Linked DNA regions of Neodiprion lecontei. The protein of the gene in region 2 binds, or shares a complex with, the protein of the main gene of each other region. Links are inferred from orthologs where the notes say so. Each region holds a gene or a part of one and is shown on either strand. Other genes may lie near its edges.

The links. Proteins that work in one complex are often made in the same cells at the same time.
Region 1: vacuolar protein sorting-associated protein 54 (region 2) and vacuolar protein sorting-associated protein 52 homolog share a complex: the UniProt entries of both Caenorhabditis elegans proteins name them as parts of the golgi-associated retrograde protein (GARP) complex. The link is inferred for Neodiprion lecontei from reciprocal best matches to the Caenorhabditis elegans genes vps-54 and vps-52.

Annotation. Positions count from the first base shown.
Region 1 is NC_060261.1:35,079,397-35,082,996, forward strand, and holds the start of vacuolar protein sorting-associated protein 52 homolog, read left to right. Parts: upstream 1-859; 5' UTR 860-1,001; coding exon 1,002-1,238; intron 1,239-1,303; coding exon 1,304-1,479; intron 1,480-1,582; coding exon 1,583-1,967; intron 1,968-2,043; coding exon 2,044-2,226; intron 2,227-2,295; coding exon 2,296-2,421; intron 2,422-2,512; coding exon 2,513-2,697; intron 2,698-2,759; coding exon 2,760-2,844; intron 2,845-2,929; coding exon 2,930-3,133; intron 3,134-3,215; coding exon 3,216-3,600. Other genes in the region: nuclear pore complex protein Nup93, read right to left, coding at 1-22, 110-290, 486-787. UniProt on the Caenorhabditis elegans protein: Acts as a component of the GARP complex that is involved in retrograde transport from early and late endosomes to the trans-Golgi network (TGN). The GARP complex facilitates tethering as well as SNARE complex assembly at the Golgi.
Region 2 is NC_060261.1:16,717,531-16,721,492, forward strand, and holds the start of vacuolar protein sorting-associated protein 54, read right to left. Parts: upstream 2,945-3,962; 5' UTR 2,727-2,944; coding exon 2,629-2,726; intron 1,054-2,628; coding exon 663-1,053; intron 555-662; coding exon 452-554; intron 369-451; coding exon 184-368; intron 1-183. UniProt on the Caenorhabditis elegans protein: Acts as a component of the GARP complex that is involved in retrograde transport from early and late endosomes to the trans-Golgi network (TGN). The GARP complex facilitates tethering as well as SNARE complex assembly at the Golgi.

The DNA.
Region 1 (3,600 bases), about 18 Mb from region 2:
GAACTCTATTTAGCTCGAATGTCTATAAGAAAAAATGCTTTTACTTAATTACAATTGTTTCATTTGATATTGTGTTACTCGAGCATTAGAAAATTATAACTATACGTACGTCTTTATGTACTTGTTCAATGATAGAAAGAATGGCATTTTCTTTTTCATTTCTCAAGTAGCTAACAATGTCTGTATCTGCGACGGGATCCAATGGCTCAAAAGTACGCCGTGCACTCAGAGAATTCAATTTTTGTGATATTTGCGGTAGGTCAACACCACGCGAACCCAATAAGAGATGTCTGCAGTAAATTGAAACGGATTTAATTATAAATGGCAAGGAGGTCGAGCCTCGACAATTTTGAGGTTACATTTAAACTCCGCGAGAAAAAAAAGTGGATACGTACAGAAATCCGGTGGTGCCAATTTAATTTAGTCATCCGTTTTTGTTTTACACATAAAGAACTAAAAATTGGATATTTAATTTCCGTACTTACGCCTGTACTTGATTATCCTGACTGCTGGGCTGAGTGACGCGGGACCAAAGTTCGTTAGAGGCTTCTAAAATCTGTCTTAAGTTTCTTTCGACTTGCGGTAATTCGCCGTTTCCCTCTACAGCGGCTGACAATTGCTCAGCCGACCGTAGGAGCTCGTTAAAATCTGAATCACCCATTCTGAAGAATTTCAACAATAAATTAACACGGCGAACTGAGGTTAGAGTAGTCCCGTACACGCCATTTACAAATTTGAAATTTCGTCTGCACGGACCAGCACGGACTTCAACCGATTGGACTGCCATCTGATCCTCGCATCAACAATTAAACTCCAAATACCCGAACCTCTAAAAAATGCGTAATGGCTGGTCTGCGAAGCAGACGGTAGCAGACAGCGTGCTGTCAAACTAGGCTGTCAGAGTTGTTCAGCCGATATTTTACACGTGAGAAGAGCAAGGAAAGAATACGCAGTAATAGTATTATAAATAAAAAAGTGTCGGAAGGTTCAATATCGTAGAAATGTCGTCGGAAGTCAACGCTTTTGACGATAGCGAGACGCAAATGGCTCACGAGGATCTGGAGGATGACGTGGTCCAGGAGGTCCTGACGATGGGGACAGACCTGCGGCAATATTCCCGACAAATAGAAAAAGAACTCAAAGAAGTCGAGAATAAATCTATTCAAGACTACATAAAAGAAAGTCAGAACATAGCCAGCTTGCATAACCAAATTGATGCCTGTGACAATATTTTAGAGGTTAGTAAATGGCTATTCGATACATGACGATACGTTCTCTCGCTATCACAATTTATTTATTACAGAAAATGGAATCCATGCTACTGAGCTTCAAAACCGACCTCGGCAGCATAAGTTCGGAAATTTTATACCTGCAACGAAAATCTGTAGCCATGAGCCAGCAACTTTCCAACCGCCAGGTCATTCGAGGACCACTGAGTCAATTCATCGAGGACATGACTGTTTCAGAAGCTCTGATAATGTAGGTTGAATAATAGAGTTCTGTGCCATTTTAACTATTAAGTTATCAGAAAGTATGTCATTTAGAACAGCAGAATCTATTTTTTACTCTGTTTTATTATTAGGGGAATCATGGACTGCCCGGTTACTGAGAAGGAATTTTTAACACAGCTGCAGACCTTGAATCACAAAATAAACTTTGTCAAAGAGCAAAGCTTCAAGGAAGCTAAATCTTGCCAAGACGTCAAAGAGATACTCGAGAAATTGAAAATAAAAGCAATGTCCAAGATCAGAACTTATCTGTTGGAACAAATATACAAATTTAGGAAACCAATGACCAACTATCAGGTTCCGCAAAATAACATGCTCAAGTATAAATTCTTTTTCGAATTTGTTTTGGCCAATGAAAGAAATGTTGCTGAAGAAATATGTGGGGAATATGTCGATACGATGAGCAAAATTTATTACTCTTACTTCAAGTCGTACTCTTCGCGACTCACAAAACTGCAGGTGAGAAAAAATTAGACATTTGCCTTTGCAATATACTTTACTAATCTTTCTATATGTGTACTCTAATGTTTTCTAGTTCGAAGAAGCTGCCACCAAAGATGATCTGATGGGCGTTGAAGATACAGCTGGCAGAGGGATCTTCCACAAAACTCCCCTCAAACATCGAGGCACTGTTTTTTCAATAGGCACCCGAGGAGATGTTCTCAATTCTCAATTAGAAGCTCCAATAATTGTGCCGCATACTGCGTCTAAGACTAGGGTTCGTTTTTTATTATTCAAGAAGATTTATAACAATCATAGGTGAATCAATAATGTATTTCATTCACAGTATCACTACGAAGCTTTGTTTAGAAGTGAACAATACGCGCTGGTGGATAACGCTTGCAGAGAGTATCTATTTCTGTCGGAATTTTTCAAGGTTCGCGGAACTCAGGCGATGGATATTTTCGATCAAGTAATTCAACATATTTTTCCCTTGGGAATTGCAACAATTAACGAATGACATACGGGATAGAATTGTAATTTTTCTTTTATTTTTCTATTAGGTGATGGGCAAGACCTTGCACCTGTTACTCAAGAACTTGCAGTCCTTTGTAGATGACTGTTACGACACTATAGCTCTCTTTCTTTGCTTGCATTTGGTAATGCGGTACCAATTGACTTGCCATAAACGAGCTGTCCCTGCACTAGACAAGTATTGGGATAATCTCACCTCAGTTATTTGGCCAAGGTAATCTCATCAGTTCTCTGAAAACGAATGTGCTTGGGATCCATTTAGACATTCTATTTCAGGTTCGAGTACGCCTTTCAGTTGAATATTCAAAGTATCAAAGACTGTGATCCCTGGAAATTGAATAAGGACATAGGACCTCATTACGTGAGTAATGTTACTTCCTATCATTTAACGTAACCACAGATCAACTCTCAAATAAATTTATGTCTTGACTCGCATCTCTATTCAGATTACTAGACGTTACGCTGAATTCAGTGCCGCGATGGTCGGAGTCGGAGAAGGATTTCCATGTGAAGGAGCTGCACAGTTGTTGGCTGAATTAAGAGAAGCAGTACAATGCTTTTTACTTAGAATGGCCGCAGTCTTTGTGCAGAGAACACAGCAATTAGTGTTTCTAATCAACAACTACGACTTGGTCCTGGGAGTTCTTATGGTCAGTTGTCGCTCTTTGTCACGGTCTTTCATTGAGAAATCAATGACGAACAAATAATTGTAAAAGTTTCGTTTCTCTGTAGGAAAGAACCAGAGATAATTCAAAAGAAGCTGAAAGCTTCCGTGAAAAATTGAACGCCCGTTCCTCTGAGTATGTTGAGGAAGTGTTGAGCCCTCATTTTGGCGGAATTATACAGCTTGTTAAAGAAACCGAAGCTTTATCTGATAAGGGTCAAGTGGAATATTTTAAGCAGCACGAAGGAACGGCACTGGCTTTAGTCGAGGCTTTTACTCAGTGTTGGAAAAACGAGTTGTCATCAATAAATAGCGAAGTTTTGAGATCGTTTCCAAGCTTAGTTTTAGGAGGCGCATTGCTTCAAAGAACTTTAACTCAGTTTGTTCAGTATTATCACCGTTTGCATAAAATTTTACCCGCAAATGCTAGAGCTCGATTGACAAACATCCATC
Region 2 (3,962 bases):
TATTTGCCTTGGAGCGGTAATAACGGGATAAATTGCCCGATTCCCCCGAAATTTCCCTGAATTTTCCAGACTGCATCTAATTCCGTGAGATTTCTTGGTTTTCCGGAAATTCCCTGACGCTAAACACCCTGATGTACACATAGAAAACAGCACACAACATAAAAAGTACATAGAATGGCCTACGGAGTGTAGTCGTGTCCATACTTTCTCTTGCATGAGTTTAGCATGGCTGGCTGTGTTTCCATCTTCATCCAATAGTCCTTCCTTAGCGAACGGGAATACAGCGAGGAAATTTTCCTTCTGAGCAAGGTCCAAATGCGGCATCAAAAAGATCTTTGGTATGCTCGACAAGTCGAATTGAGAACGTTCTGCAAAACGAATAAAGAATCAATATTTTCATCGTAGCCATTGTTCAGGTTACAAGACTAGCGTATATTCCATGTTTGCTTACCCAGCGACTTGACTTTCCTGAGATTGGGAAAATTCTGCAACAACTCGTTTGGCGAGGTGGAATTGTTGGAATTTGTGTTCATGCGCGAATGCTTACGATATCTCTGTAACAGAAATGAAAAGTGAATATGCGGTACAGGAAAATAATCAGGGAGAAAGAACTTCTCGCAAAATACTTGACGATAATATTATCTCTAAAAGATTATACAAACCCGTGCAATCTTCTTCATATAATTGTCGAAGTGCTGCATAGAGACGTCAGGCAGATATGGACTTTTGGGTATATCAACTTTTTCAACAAATGCATCACCCCATGTCTTGGTGAGAAAATTACTTTGCTTTCCTTTGTTGGGGTCATTCAGTACCGCAGGCAAGTTTTGCGCAGCTGAATAAATGGTCCACGACGGAGACGATCCGGTTACTTGACCGTTGCTTTTCTTTTGTTGCTGTTGCTGCTGCTGCATCGTCGCGTGTTTTGTCGCATGGGCTATGTAATCCTTATCCGAAACACCTTCGACCGGAAGGCTGCTGCATACACTGTTATACCCATAACGGCAAACAAACGAACCACCTTCTCTTGCGCAATGTTGCTCTCTCAAGTGTCTAAGATAAAGCATACATCATCTTTATATAGTATCTTATATAACACATACGATACTAAGCAAATTTTAATGGCACAACCTAAGAGATATCGAGCAATTTGAGAAAAGATTTTAGAATCAGAATTTTCAAAATGATTAATAAACTCTGGTGTTTTTTATGCGATTCTTACATGTTTCGACTCATTTTCGTCACTGATCAGATCTTCACAAATTGTCTAGACAACATTCGAGATAGACTCTTATATGATAATATAATTATAACACACGAATGTGATTGTTAACGAACATCTATTTTACCGTACTAACATAAATCTAATTTTATCTAGTTTGTAAATCTGTATGAAGAACAAAATGAGGCCAAGACATCATAATTGAATGATAAACACCACAGTTTACTCATTTTAAACGTTCTGACTACAAAAATTTTACTCAAATCATTGATATCTAAGCTTATGTTATAAAAATTTGCTCAGAATCATTTCTCTTTGAAATTACGGATGTTGTATGACATATCTTCACTATCATTTATGCAAATAACATTACCGGAGATTGTTTAAATGACCTTTGTAAGGATTTCTCCTCTTTTCCTAACTTTTGATACTGGCCAACCAAAATTGGCCAATTTGCCTTCATCGCAACAATTAGCTGTGAGAATTCGTATTGTTTAAGTTGGTAAGGTTGATATAACAATGCAATTTTAAGAAAAATCGTTGGTCCGCCGTCTTAGGAGGATGTGAAGTTTAAGCAACTGAAATAGAACAACATGAAGTCTAACAATCTAAATACTCAATAATATCAAAATCATTGTGAAATAGCGTATTGGTGATATTTTTGCAATGTTTAATGTTCTTCAACCTTGTTACAACTGAACAACTGCCGAGTGCTTAAGCATTTGACATACAATTTCATGTGATAAATCAAGAGAAGAATTGAAATTGTGTGGAGCGACTGAAAAGATATCATATCGTGGATCTTTCGAAGTATTTTAATCTTTAGGAGTACAAAAAAAATAATTACTGCCAGGTAGTGCAATGAAAAGGAGTTACGTAAGCACCTAATTACTACCACAAGAGTCTGGTTAGATCAATAGCTTATGTTAATTTGAGTAATAATAAGTCGTTGCTTTAGACGAGTCATCTTTAATGGATGGAATATTTAGAGGAAGTCATTGAAATAAAAAATTTTACAGATTCACTGCAATTTTAAAGCGAGTCGCTAATGCAAACAAAGTAGATTGTTGTGCTAAGATTGTTTGCATAATTTACAACAATATCAATGCTTGAAAGTTGGCTCAACTATGACAGATGATGAGAGAAGAAAAGTGACCGATGGAAACATATGACAGTTTATTTAAGCATCTCGCTGAATAGATGAAAGATGAATACTGAACATTGAGTAAGACCTTTGAAGTTTTAACCAACAATACAAGGCGGGCTCAGATTAACAGGGGAGAATTTATTCGGGCAATGACAGCGGCAAGGTCAGCTGATGATTGCGGAAGGTGGCAATGATAACGCGGTGAGACGCAACGTGGCCAGATAAGTCGAAAATACTAAGGTGTGGAGTCGGGACCTACCTTATGAAGTCCTCGATGTATCTGAAGGTGATATTGGGGCAATATTCGCAGGAAAACGACGCGGTGGAAACCTCCGGTGCCTTTATTATTTTCGCCATTTTATCACACCTGTCAGCTCAGCTCACCATCACTTCGACTGGTGTTGTCGTCCACCGTTTCACCGCTCAATTCGCGTAAACCACTGCAGTTGACGACATCAAACGCCAACGCAGGCCATCAGCATCCAGCTGCTAATGACAGCCGTTCCACGGATTCAATTGGGAGTCTGGGACGTAATGTTAGAAAGAGACGGGACTCGGCGCCGTGATGTAAACCGATGTAAACTGCTAGCAATACGTCATCCTTTTATGCATAGACCACGGATTTATGACATACAGTATGGTGGAGTGTACTGTGACGTCACAACATCACTCCCCGACAATTCCAGATGCTAGACACTAGATCTAGCGATCGATTCTGTAATTTCACTTTTCACATATCCCACCATCCGAGAATTTTGATTGGTCGACTAAACTTTGCAAGGCAATCAGAATGTTTGGATGGTGGGGACTGTGAAGAATGCTCTGAAGTACAGGCCGATGCACCGTCGGTAGTTCTGGGTCAGCAGGTACCGACTAGGCATTGAAATGCAGTGGACAATGGATGTTCAATCGCGGTTTTCACACAAACGGGGAAAGGAATGACCGTCAGAATAATAAAGTAAAAACTCACCTTACCTTTCGAGGATGACTGGAACTTGATGAACAATAAGTCGATGAGGTGACAGGAGTTCAGAGAAATGACTGATTTTGTTTGTTAGGTATTTGATTTAAGTTGACATTATTTTAAAATTCAAAATACAAGTAGGCATTTTTGACTTTATAATATAATAGAATACACCGAATAATTCATACCAGTCCTCTGACACACGCTGCTAAAAGTGGTTCGCAAAATGTCCCTCGATTCTGCCGCCAATCTCCACCACTAGTGGCGCTAGTAGTTGTCTGACCAGCTCGCGCGCGGTCAGCGAGGGCAGCGAGCGTGACAGAAGTCTACTAGCGCCACGTAAAAGAACTAAAAAACGGGGACAAGACGCGTACAATTTTTTAGTATACAAGCAGTGGTGTCAGCGGGCTGGTCGTAACGCAACGTATCACTTCCTCCGATTATCTAACCGCGCCGTTAGATTGGCCAGACACTGTCGTTTTCCCTATTCTTTCTGTTGGTTCGAAACTAGAATCTACGCGCCAAGCTCACGTCCCCGTAAGTTGCTGTATTTTGATTGATTAAGAACTATAGAGTTTTTGCGCAGTGCGTATTTTACCCTAGCTTTCCTGTCTCTCTATTGGCTGATG